Linked DNA regions of Macaca mulatta. The protein of the gene in region 1 interacts with the protein of each later gene in a pairwise test. Links are inferred from orthologs where the notes say so. Each region holds a gene or a part of one and is shown in the gene's direction. Other genes may lie near its edges. The genes, in order: TNIK, GOLGA4 and NEFM.

Evidence for each region.
Region 2: the proteins of TNIK (region 1) and GOLGA4 interact in a two-hybrid assay, tested with the Homo sapiens proteins (2 studies listed by BioGRID and IntAct). The link is inferred for Macaca mulatta from reciprocal best matches to the Homo sapiens genes TNIK and GOLGA4.
Region 3: the proteins of TNIK (region 1) and NEFM interact in a two-hybrid assay, tested with the Homo sapiens proteins (2 studies listed by BioGRID and IntAct). The link is inferred for Macaca mulatta from reciprocal best matches to the Homo sapiens genes TNIK and NEFM.

The regions. Positions count from the first base shown.
Region 1 is NC_133407.1:82,741,467-82,744,304, reverse strand, and holds part of TNIK (TRAF2 and NCK-interacting protein kinase), read left to right. Parts: intron 1-691; coding exon 692-851; coding exon of another isoform or gene 852-934; exon of another isoform or gene 935-1,036; intron 1,037-1,108; coding exon 1,109-1,248; intron 1,249-2,838. UniProt on the Homo sapiens protein: Serine/threonine kinase that acts as an essential activator of the Wnt signaling pathway. Recruited to promoters of Wnt target genes and required to activate their expression. May act by phosphorylating TCF4/TCF7L2.
Region 2 is NC_133407.1:99,501,340-99,505,769, forward strand, and holds the start of GOLGA4 (golgin subfamily A member 4), read left to right. Parts: upstream 1-1,509; 5' UTR 1,510-1,791; coding exon 1,792-1,863; intron 1,864-4,430. UniProt on the Homo sapiens protein: Involved in vesicular trafficking at the Golgi apparatus level. May play a role in delivery of transport vesicles containing GPI-linked proteins from the trans-Golgi network through its interaction with MACF1. Involved in endosome-to-Golgi trafficking.
Region 3 is NC_133413.1:26,649,347-26,653,529, forward strand, and holds the start of NEFM (neurofilament medium polypeptide), read left to right. Parts: upstream 1-1,298; 5' UTR 1,299-1,331; coding exon 1,332-2,411; intron 2,412-3,143; coding exon 3,144-3,268; intron 3,269-4,183. UniProt on the Homo sapiens protein: Neurofilaments usually contain three intermediate filament proteins: NEFL, NEFM, and NEFH which are involved in the maintenance of neuronal caliber.

The DNA.
Region 1 (2,838 bases):
CAAAGTGCTGGGATTACAGGCATGAGCCACTGTGCGCAGCAATAGTGATTTTTTTAAATGACTGGTAATTCTAAATATTTTTTCTAACCAAGCCATGAATTATTCTGCCATTTGGACACCCAGATAAACAATCCTATTTTTTTTTTCACAGATTATTTTGATAGGAGTTCATTTGACCCCACTTAAGCCATCTCCATTAGATTCAGCTGGCTTACATTCTCCTCATCTTTTTTTGGAAGTAGTTGTGCTAATAGAAAACACATTAATTTCAATGTCAGCAAGATGTACACAAATCCCAACTCTACTAACAAATACTAGCACAGCTTTGGTCAAGACACAAAGCCCTTCTGAGATGCAGTTTCCTCATCTGTAAAAAAGCTATCTACGTTGGGGAGCTATTCTGGGTGCTAGAAATTATATATGTAAAGGGCCCCATGATTGGCACATAGTAGGTGTGTCATAGATTTACATGCTGTTTTTAGGAACAGATAAATTGAATTTTTAATCTAGTGACTAAGTTTGATTTGCCAGGGTATTTTACAAGTCAGTGGTTAAATTAAAGCAAATTTCAGTCTTTAGGGTGACAATGAAAATAAACAAAAACCTCTTTTTTGCAGTTCTTAGAGATGAATAGTCAAAGTGTTGTTTTATTTTTTAAAAGAATAATGCTTGGCCTTTCTTTGTCTTCTAGATTCAGGGCAATATCACTCCTCATGCTATTGTCATCTTGCCTAAAACAGATGGAATGGAAATGCTTGTTTGCTATGAGGATGAGGGGGTGTATGTAAACACCTATGGCCGGATAACTAAGGATGTGGTGCTCCAATGGGGAGAAATGCCCACGTCTGTGGGTAGGTTAACCATTCCTTATCTCCTTCAGCAGTTACACCCCCCAAATGAAACGAAAACCAAGAAATGTGAAACAACCATTTGATTCCACACCAAAAAAAAAAAAAAAAAAAAACAGTCTGTGAATAACTCTTGTAAGACTTGCTTTGTCCATTTATCTCAAGTCGTTTGTCATTTTTGTGGTTAAGATGTGAACAGATGCTGTGAGTTATTGCCCATCTAATGTTTTTAATGCAGTTTTGGAAATTCCTTTTGACAGCCTACATTCATTCCAATCAGATAATGGGCTGGGGCGAGAAAGCTATTGAGATCCGGTCAGTGGAAACAGGACATTTGGATGGAGTATTTATGCATAAGCGAGCTCAAAGGTTAAAGTTTCTATGTGAAAGAAATGATAAGGTAAATCCGTTTCAACATTTGCATTAGTGTTTGCATTTTAAGAGACCACCAGGTACCTGTGAAACCTTCATTTTCCTTTATACTGATTTGAATCACATCTGTGTTAAACAATCAATATTATCTTGAAATGGCATTATTTGGTTTGATCCATGTGAACACTCAATATATTATTCACATGTCAAAAACTACATAAAAACATCTAGAAATTTCTTGTAAACTTCTTAGAAATTTTTGTGGCTTGAAGGCCTTATGATGACTCAGCAGACACCACAAATTCTCCTAAGCACTTAGAGCAGTTGGCCCATCATTAATCATCTCACAGTGGGTCAACTTTATACTTCCACTTTTAGACTTTTCACAAAGTCACTTTCAAGACCTAACCAATCACCTTATATTCACCTTTAAATCCAAAACATTTGACATGTAGAAATATAAGCTTTTTTAAAATGTCACCCATTCCTTAAGGAACTCACAATCACAAACTCAACTAGTGCCATGTCTTGTGTCATTCCAGCCATGTTTCTTCTGAAATGTCATAGGTGAACTGTTTTCCAGTGAAATTAGCTGTGTCCGTCTGGCATGATCAGTCACCTCAGAGGAGTATTCTGCAGCAGTACTGCTTCTCCCTTACCCTCCCTATAGAGTAACCCTGAGGTTTTAGTAGCTAAGCCGTATTGCATTTGTGAATTCATCCTTTGTGGCTGTGGCCAACATAGAAATGCTGTCCCCAAAGCCACAGACATAAACACCTATAGAAAAACAGTATGATGGGTTGAATTTTTGTACATCCCTTTGTCCACCCCAGTTCCTCAAAGATCAGGTTGGTCTTAGTTCAACCCTGGTGATGTGGGCCTAAACTATATTCAACCCTGGCCCACTACTCTGACCTAATGTGGTCTGGGTGGACAGTAGCTGCAGCTGGCAAAGATGGTTCCAGCCATTTAGAGTTTCCCAGAAAACAAACCTAACCTAGTAAAACTCTAGCTCCTACCTAGTCTCTAAGAATCAAAAAACTAGGAGTAATCTGGGTATGGATACCCACACTCCAATTGAAAACCTACCCTAGCAGGCCTGCTCCAAGCCATGCCACACCCTTAGGAGTAGGCTGGGACCACACCAGTGTCTGGAACCCAAAGTTTAGAGCCAGGGGCACACAACTTGGAGGGAACAGCAGCCCTTTCTTTTCTTCATTGTGGTTTTCCATGGGCCCTCTCTGTCCTCCGTTTTGATTCATTGACCCTAAGAGTAGCATTACTTTCATATGTAGCATTAGCTGAATGTCAAGCATTTCCACAGACCTTCCTAAGAAGTTGTTGAGAGACAGCATTCTTCTGAAGAAGCTGTAGAAATGAAGTAGCAGACTTTATACTAGTGACAAAAGCAAATGCCTCGGACCAAAGTTAGGTATTGGCTGACTGAAGGGCTAGGCCACAGCCCAAAATATTACTTTCCTGGGACAGTGGGTCTTTTATATTTAACATTCAGCTCAAGCAAGCAGTAACCCAAATTTTTCTCGCGTTTGTCAGTTGTTTGATAAAATGACTTAACAGACTCAGACCTAATGGACTGTGGTTCTACTTGTTAATGCTA
Region 2 (4,430 bases), about 17 Mb from region 1:
CATGGAAAACAATTTTTTCCTGGGGGTGGGGCTGGGGGATGGGGAAGGATGGTTTGGGACAATTCAAATGCATTATATTTATTGTGCACTTTATTTCTATTATTATTGCATTGTAATATATAATGAAATGATTATACAACTCACCATAATGCAGAATCGGTGGGAGCCCTGAGCTTGTTTTCCTGCAACTAGATGGTCCCATCTGGGGGTGATGGGAGACAGTGACAGATCATCAGGCATTAGATTCTCATAAGGAGCACACAACCTAGATCCCTCTCATGCCTAGTTCACAATAGTTCCAGCTCCTATGAGAATCTCACGCCACAGCTGATCTGACAGGAGGTGGAGCTCGGACGATAATATGAGCCTTGGGGAGCAGCTGTAAATACAGATTAAACTTCCCTGGCGTGCCAGAGATTCACTTCTTGCTGTGTAGCCCGGTTCCTAACAGGCCATGGGCTGGTACTCGTTTGTGGCCCAGGGGCTGGGGACCCCTTACATAAGGTGTTCACTATGAGATATAAGAGGACTTAGCCCAGGTGTTAAGGCAGTGTTCCAGGCCCCACTTTGGCTCTAATACATTTAGGGATCAGAATATGGACTCTCGAGAGCAGCTTCCCCCTATTATTGCTGGAAAACAAAATTTGCTAAAACGTGGAGATCAGCATATACTGTTAGATTCTGATGCCTCAATGTAAGCAGTTTCAGATGATACCAAAGGTACAGCATGCAAAAGTGGGTTGCTGAAATTGGACCTGAGGATTCGCAGGCAGCCAAACTTCGGGTTTTGGATAAATGAGGCACATAAACATTAAAATCTTGTAGGATGACTGCAGGTGTTAGGAGTAAATTTGGACTCATTAGGAATCTGTGTCTTCCACTAGGCTGTGAAATCTCCAAGGCCTGATAAAGGTTTCTGAATGAATTTGTGAAATATACGATTTCGGTGAAGAAAAGAATAAAGCAGGTGTCCAAACAGTTGAGGTTTTACGGTATTGGCATAAAACATTTGGACCCCTGGCGGCCGGTATCAGGGACTTCCCGACGCTGGAAGAGTTCCGGGAAGGGAAGCGGGCCCCTCTGGAACCGAAGACATAGAATCCTAGCTACAGCTACTAAAGAAAAGTACACTATCAATTAGGGCCCGCGTCAGGTTCTCTGGATCTCCCCTTCTCCCATCCTGGAAGCTCATCCCTGTGTTCTTTGCAGTGGGCCCGTCGGCCCTGCTGCCATCAATAGAAGCAGTACTCTCCCCGTCTGATTTCGCAGGGCCAAAGCCCAGGTGAGAGTCAGTGTGGTGTTCAGACTAGCCCTCGCTCCATTTCTGAGCCGCGAGGGCCGCACGCAACGAAATCAGGCAGCCCCGAACCTTGTGTCCTCCAGTGCAGTGAGTTCGGGAGCGACAGGCCGAGCGCGCATGTGCAGGCCCCGACATTGTGCTTGTCCCCTCCGGTGCTCCGTAGTTAGCCTCGGAGAGCTCCACGTAGGCGGCGCAGGCGCCCTTGGTGCACAGTTCACCTGCTGCCGTTGTCGTCGCCGCCGCGGCTCCCGGGGCTGGATGGGGGCCCGAGGCCAGCCAGTGGCACCCGGAAGAAAGAGACGCGGCGGCGGCGACGCCGACATCCTCAGGACGAGTGTCCGGACTTGCCCGCAGGCTCAAGGAGGAGGCGGCGAGGCCGGGTCCCCGCGGTCCCTGGTGTAGAGAAGTCGCCGTAGCCGCCGCGGCCGGGACTCCCCGGGCTCTCGCCCCTCAGGTCTCATTGACACTCAGGACCCTACGTACGCTGCGCCATGTTCAAGAAACTGAAGCAAAAGATCAGCGAGGAGCAGCAGCAGCTCCAGCAGGCGCTGGCTCCTGGTCAGGTACGATGGCCGCAGCTTTCCTCCCCTGGCTCCCGATACCCCTTGAACCAGCCCGCGGACGAAAAAGGCGGGGGGAGTGGGGCGTTCTTCCGTGACCTTTGACCCCTAACCCTGGACTCTTCCGAAACTCCGGATCCAGAAGGAGCTCCGGGCGGTGCAGGTCGCCCGTAACTCCTGACCTGGATTTTCCCATCGCAAAACTCCATCCAGTAATGAGTGGATGGGGGTGGCTGGATCCCTCGTGACGTCCCATCTCCGTTAAGAGTTTTTCCTTAAGGCCAGACTCCGAACTTACCTGATTTCTGATCCGTATTTGAGGTTCCCCCGTCCATCTGAGACCCCACGCTGGGAATGAGGGCGGGGTTGGAAAACCCGGGTCCCTTGTGATATCTAATCTCTGCTCGAGGTGTCCCCCTCTCTCATGCCCATCGTGAGATTTTGTGTGAAATGGCCAGGATCCCGCACAACTGACCCTTGACGGAAGTCTCTTAAATCCAAACCCAGGTCTAGGGATTGAAGGCTGGGGAATAGAGCCATCCTGGGTCAGGCTGCTGGTAGGAGCGGTGGGACATGAAAGAGGTGGCGGCGTGGCCGGCGTCCAGCGCCCGAGGCTGTCACGAGTTAGTCACTTCGCATAACTTGGTTGATCCGGGACTGGCGGGCGGAGGGGGAGACACTCTCCCTGTCCAGAACTCTGCTCTGCTTTTTGAGTCTTGTTGCTCTGCGGACAGGGTTATGTTTGTTTTTCAGGAATGCTGTTGCTTTAGGAAATGCGTTTCCAGGGGAAAGGAGGCGTGTTAGTAGTATTAAAGATACAGTTTCCTAAGCGTTAACTGGAGATGTTTCGATGCTGGCAGCACAGGGTCTTAACAGCGAAGATGATGGTTTCTGCTTAATTTCTTCCCAGCCTTTTTGAATTGCAACAGATTGAGCAGATCTGTCCCTTAATTTTCGGGTTTTTGGTCTTTGCTTGTGGTTGCAAGAAAAGCTGAGTTTTGACTAACTTGGAGGCATTTCCAAATTCTTAACATAGAACGATTGCATTAGGTTTATTCGGAAACTATAAATTGAAGTTATTATTTTTAAATTTAAAGCTCATGTGTAGTAAAACAGTGCTTGAGAAAAACATCAGAACACAGCACTGAAGGGTTGCTTCATTTCTCAAGTATAAATGGTGGTTAAAATTTAAGTAGTAAAGATTGTCCTTTTCATACCATTTACTGCAGTCTTTTAAAATTTTACAAAACACTGTTAATTAAGAAACAAAGATAAACTTTAAAAGTGAGGTGGAGATGAGGAATGTGAGGAAATGGGCATGTTAGTGAATGTAAGGCACTTCCATTTGGGAGTGTATAAAATGTAATTGAGCCAGGATTCCATTTCTAGAAATTTATTCTAAGAAAATTTAGGATGTATTAAAGATTTAGCTCTATGGATTTTCATGTCAATGTTGTTTTAATAGGTTAAAAACTAGCCAGAAATGTCCACCAATAGAGAATTGGTTAAATAAATTTTATCAGGTAGTTAGTTTTGCTTGATAGGTTACTATGCAGCCATAAAAAGTCAGCATTTACTGTGTCCTTAGTATGTACCAGACATTTTGCTTAGTATTTACACAGATCATTTTATTTAATCTCACATAAGCCTGTGAGGTAGATAATACTATAATTCCTCCTCTATAGATGAAGGAGTGAGGCTCAAAGAGGTGAAGTAACTTGCCTGATGTTACGCAGCTAGTGTTAGAGACTTCAGAAAAGTATTAACACAGAAAGATATTTGTGTTAAAAGACAGAAGCAGCAGGTAAAATGTGATCCCAGTTTTGGGGAAAAGAATCTGTATGTAAGTGTATTTATATATACACATGGTAAAACTAGTTTAAGAGTAATATACTTTAAGGTGCTGGTGAATTACTGAGTGTGCTTTTTCTTATTTGTAGCGTTTAGCTTTTCATGAAAATGAGTTGTTTTTGTTCATTAACAAAGAGGTTGTTTTTAGTAATAAGCTAGTCACAAGCTAAGATGTAAGAGCTCTGTTTCTATAGCTTAATGCTTCTGGTGAAACAGGGCATCTGGATCAAATAAAATCACTTTGTGTACAAAAGGTTTAAAATAATCCTTTTGGATTATATGTATATTCACTGTGTTGGCCAGGCTGGTCTTGAACTCCTGACCTCTGGTGATTGGCCAGCCCCGGCCTCCCAAAATGCTGGGATTACAGGCGTGAGCCACTGCGCCTGGCCATTCGTGGTCTACTTTTGATAGTTATTTTGTAACCTTCCTTTCTGCCTGCCATATATCTTTCTCCCTGCTTGTGAATTGTTACGATCTTAGAAACAAAAAATGTGGCCTGGTATGGTGGCCTCACACCTGTAATCCCAGCACTTCGAATCACTTGAGCTCAGTAGTTCAAGACCAGCCTGGCCAAGATGGCAAAATCCCATTTCTGGCCAGGCACCGTGGCTCACGCCTGTAATCCCAGCACTTTGGGAGGCCAAGGCGGGTAGATCACCTGAGGTCTGCTAAAAGTACAAAAATTAGCGGGGCGTGGTGGCGCACACCTGTAATCC
Region 3 (4,183 bases), on another chromosome or scaffold:
CTCCTTTCCAAGGAGTATTTGACCTTCACATTTCAGGCCCTGTATCTCTTCATCTCCTATACAATCATACGTTAGAAAACTCAAACTGGGCTGCAAGTACATATTTCTGTTAACTGACTTCAATGAATTTTGGTTGTTTTCAAAATCTGCAATCTGTTCATTGTGCCAGCCCTGCATTGCAGAGAAGTCTTAGCCTGCGATTCCAGCTTCGCTCCTGCAAAGAGAGTCACTACAGGCAGGTTTAAATTGTATTTGCTCGGAGAGAAGAGGGGGAAGGGAACCCCCTACCCCCCGCCAACCTGACAGGCCAGGCTGGGTGACAAGCCCCTGGGAGGCTGCACCTCCCGCTCGCCCGACCTGGGCGCTGTCCTTGGTGCTGCCGGCGCCATAGCGAGCACAAGCGCCTTACCTTCTGCCCCTGCGGAAGCTGCGGACGTCCCCCAAACGTTAAAAACGCAATATCCCACTTTTTATACAAAAAACTACCCTGGCCTGTTCTCTTTGTCCCCTTCCCGAAGCCTTCAGGCAGACGGTTCCTCAAAGTATTTTTTTTCTTTTCTTTTTGTCTTCTAGACCCAGCTCCTTGGCGCTCATCTCCAGCTGCTTTAAGACAGGAGTGGGGGAAGGGGAGGGAGGCAAGAAAAGATGAGGGTGGGGGAGGGGAGAAGAGGGAATGCAGGGGGAGGGGAAGCAAGAGACGGAGAGAAGGAAAGATTGGAAGAAAAGGGTCCGCGAGGAAGGGGCTGAGAGAAAGGCAGGGTGAAGCGAACTAAAGGCCGGAGCAGGAAGGAGAAGAGGGGCCAAAAAAGAAGGGGATGGGATTAAGCACAGAAGATGGGTAAAGAAAAAAGTATCGGGGAAAGGGTAAAAGAAGAGAAAGGCTTGAGGGTAAGAGGGTAGAGGGCTAAAGAACAAGGAGACCAGGGGGTCGGGGAAGCGCTGCCCGAACGGTGGGACAGTGACAGGCAAAGAAAGGGCGCTGGCGATATTTGTACCAAGGGTGCGAAACGCAATCGGGAAGTGAGAAATGGAGAGAAGGCGACTGCCCGGCGACAAGTGGCCTGGGACTGAAAGGGAACCTGGGGGAGGGGCTGGGCCCAGGGCAGCAAAGTCCGGGTTCCCATGCGGCCTGGGCCCACGTGGAGCGGGCGCTGAATCACCGCTCAGCCGCCCCCCTCCCCTCCTCCCCGACCGGTGCCCGCAGTCCCCGCCTCCTCGGCCGCCGCCTCCACGGGGCGGGGCCCTGGCCCGGGACCAGCGCCGCGGCTATAAATGGGCTGCGGCGAGGCCGGCAGAACGCTGTGACAGCCACACGCCCCAAGGCCTCCAAGATGAGCTACACATTGGACTCGCTGGGCAACCCGTCCGCCTACCGGCGGGTAACCGAGACCCGCTCCAGCTTCAGCCGCGTCAGCGGCTCCCCGTCCAGCGGCTTCCGCTCGCAGTCGTGGTCCCGCGGCTCGCCCAGCACCGTGTCTTCCTCCTACAAGCGCAGCATGCTCGCCCCGCGCCTCGCCTACAGCTCGGCCATGCTCAGCTCCGCCGAGAGCAGCCTTGACTTCAGCCAGTCCTCGTCCCTGCTCAACGGCGGCTCCGGACCCGGTGGCGACTACAAGCTGTCCCGCTCCAACGAGAAGGAGCAGCTGCAGGGGCTGAACGACCGCTTCGCCGGCTACATAGAGAAGGTGCACTACCTGGAGCAGCAGAATAAGGAGATTGAGGCGGAGATCCAGGCGCTGCGGCAGAAGCAGGCCTCGCACGCCCAGCTGGGCGACGCGTACGACCAGGAGATCCGCGAGCTGCGCGCTACGCTGGAGATGGTGAACCACGAGAAGGCTCAGGTGCAGCTGGACTCGGACCACCTGGAGGAAGACATCCACCGGCTCAAGGAGCGCTTCGAGGAGGAGGCGCGGCTGCGCGACGACACTGAGGCGGCCATCCGCGCGCTGCGCAAAGACATCGAGGAGGCGTCGCTGGTCAAGGTGGAGCTGGACAAGAAGGTGCAGTCGCTGCAGGATGAGGTGGCCTTCCTGCGGAGCAACCACGAGGAGGAGGTGGCCGACCTTCTGGCCCAGATCCAGGCATCACACATCACGGTGGAGCGCAAAGACTACCTGAAGACAGACATCTCTACGGCGCTGAAGGAAATCCGCTCCCAGCTCGAATGCCACTCCGACCAGAATATGCACCAGGCCGAAGAGTGGTTCAAATGCCGCTACGCCAAGCTCACCGAGGCGGCAGAGCAGAACAAGGAGGCCATCCGCTCCGCCAAGGAAGAGATCGCCGAGTACCGGCGCCAGTTGCAGTCCAAGAGCATCGAGCTAGAGTCGGTGCGCGGCACCAAGGAGTCCCTGGAGCGGCAGCTCAGCGACATCGAGGAGCGCCACAACCACGACCTCAGCAGCTACCAGGTAGGAACCGCGGCTGCGCGGCCAGCCTGCGCCAGCGCCAGCGCCGCGCGCCCCCGACACTTGGGCGCGTGCCCAGGAGCCCTCTCCGCCGCGCTCTCTGGCGGCCGCTCGCTAGAGCGCGCGCGCCGCAGACTTAGGGTAGTTTCGGATCAGCATTCTCGCCACTCTCATTCTCCATACTCCGCCCCCACCCACCTGCCCCAGCTGCTTAAAGGTCTTGACCTTTTTCAAAAACGTACTTCTTTTCCAGTTCTAATTTTGCACGCTTGCACGTTTAAAGCAGGAGGGATAAATTCGGTAGTGGATAAATCAGCAACTTTAGGATAGCTTATGCAGAAACCCGTGTATTCTCTACTTTTCCGGCAGTGATCGGAAGAGCTCTAAAAATTGGCTTCAGCCCAAAGGGCTCAGATGGGAATGGCCAGGTCAGCCATGGAGTTTCCCCATGCATGTTTGTGTCCTGTTGAGACGTGTTCTAAGTCCACTGATCTCCGTGCGTGATGTGCCCAGGAAGTGTCCTATTGTCTTACTGATCTTGTATGTTCCTTGAGAATCCCTTAGATTTAAAAGAAAAAGGGGGTGGGGGAGGGGGGCTGGGAGTCGGGTGTCAGCGAGGTTTGCAGAAGCGGATAGAGATGGGAGGAGGCGAGAGGGAAGGGGTAGCAAGTGGTTTGCGAAGGAAGTTGCTGTTTGCAAGGATGAGTCTAGGGAGACTCTCTGTGTCTGTTTCAGGACACCATCCAGCAGCTGGAAAATGAGCTTCGGGGCACAAAGTGGGAAATGGCTCGTCATTTGCGCGAATACCAGGACCTCCTCAACGTCAAGATGGCTCTGGATATAGAAATCGCTGCGTACAGGTACGGTGCTCACTACATGCGTATCCGGAATACTAACCACCATGCAGAGGCTGTTCGGGCAGAGCTTTCACCACTAAAGTTAAAGCAGGCAGGGTGCAGGCATCAACTCAGCGCCTGGTTTTCTTGCTTACTTAGAAAAAAATTATTCTAAAGAATTGCAAGTGTAGTTTTCTCTCTTTTTATGCAGCTTTAAAAGAATAAATACTAGTAGAAGCAAAAGATTTTTGAATTAGACGAAGGAGGTGCAGATTAATATCAATGCATATGCTTAAACTTTTTATGAAAAAATGTTTTCAAATGTTGGAAGCATGAACAGAGTTTTGGTTTCTAATATTTCATCTAGTGGTTTCAGCTTTTCAAATTTATAATGTCAAGGACAAACACCAGGACATTCTATTTCTCTGTTTCTCTGTTATACAGCTTACTATTGCCATCATCTGGCTGAGAATAGATATAGAATGATATATTAGAATATAGATACAGTTATTTTATATATGTAGATAATTTATATGTATTATATTTTATGCTAGACTATAGTATAAATTATATCTATATCATGTATAATATTAATCTAGATCTATAGATACATATATGTGCATATGCATATAAATCTAGATATACAGACACAAATGTGTATGATCTTTTTATAGATAGAGAGATACGTTATAGGTCTATTAACTGATGTGACCTTGCTGTTGACTAAGCGCAAAGGACAAAATCGTTGATTAAAAATTTTCTACTACCAATAAAGTAGTTATAATATAACAAGAATAAATTGCATTTACAGAGCTATCTCTCTTTTCAGGAAAGCTGAATAACTACATTAAATAGACAATTTATGGTAAAAATTATCGACCAATTTATAACTTGATACACCCATATTAACACCTGGCTAAGTTCTGAAATATGCTTAAC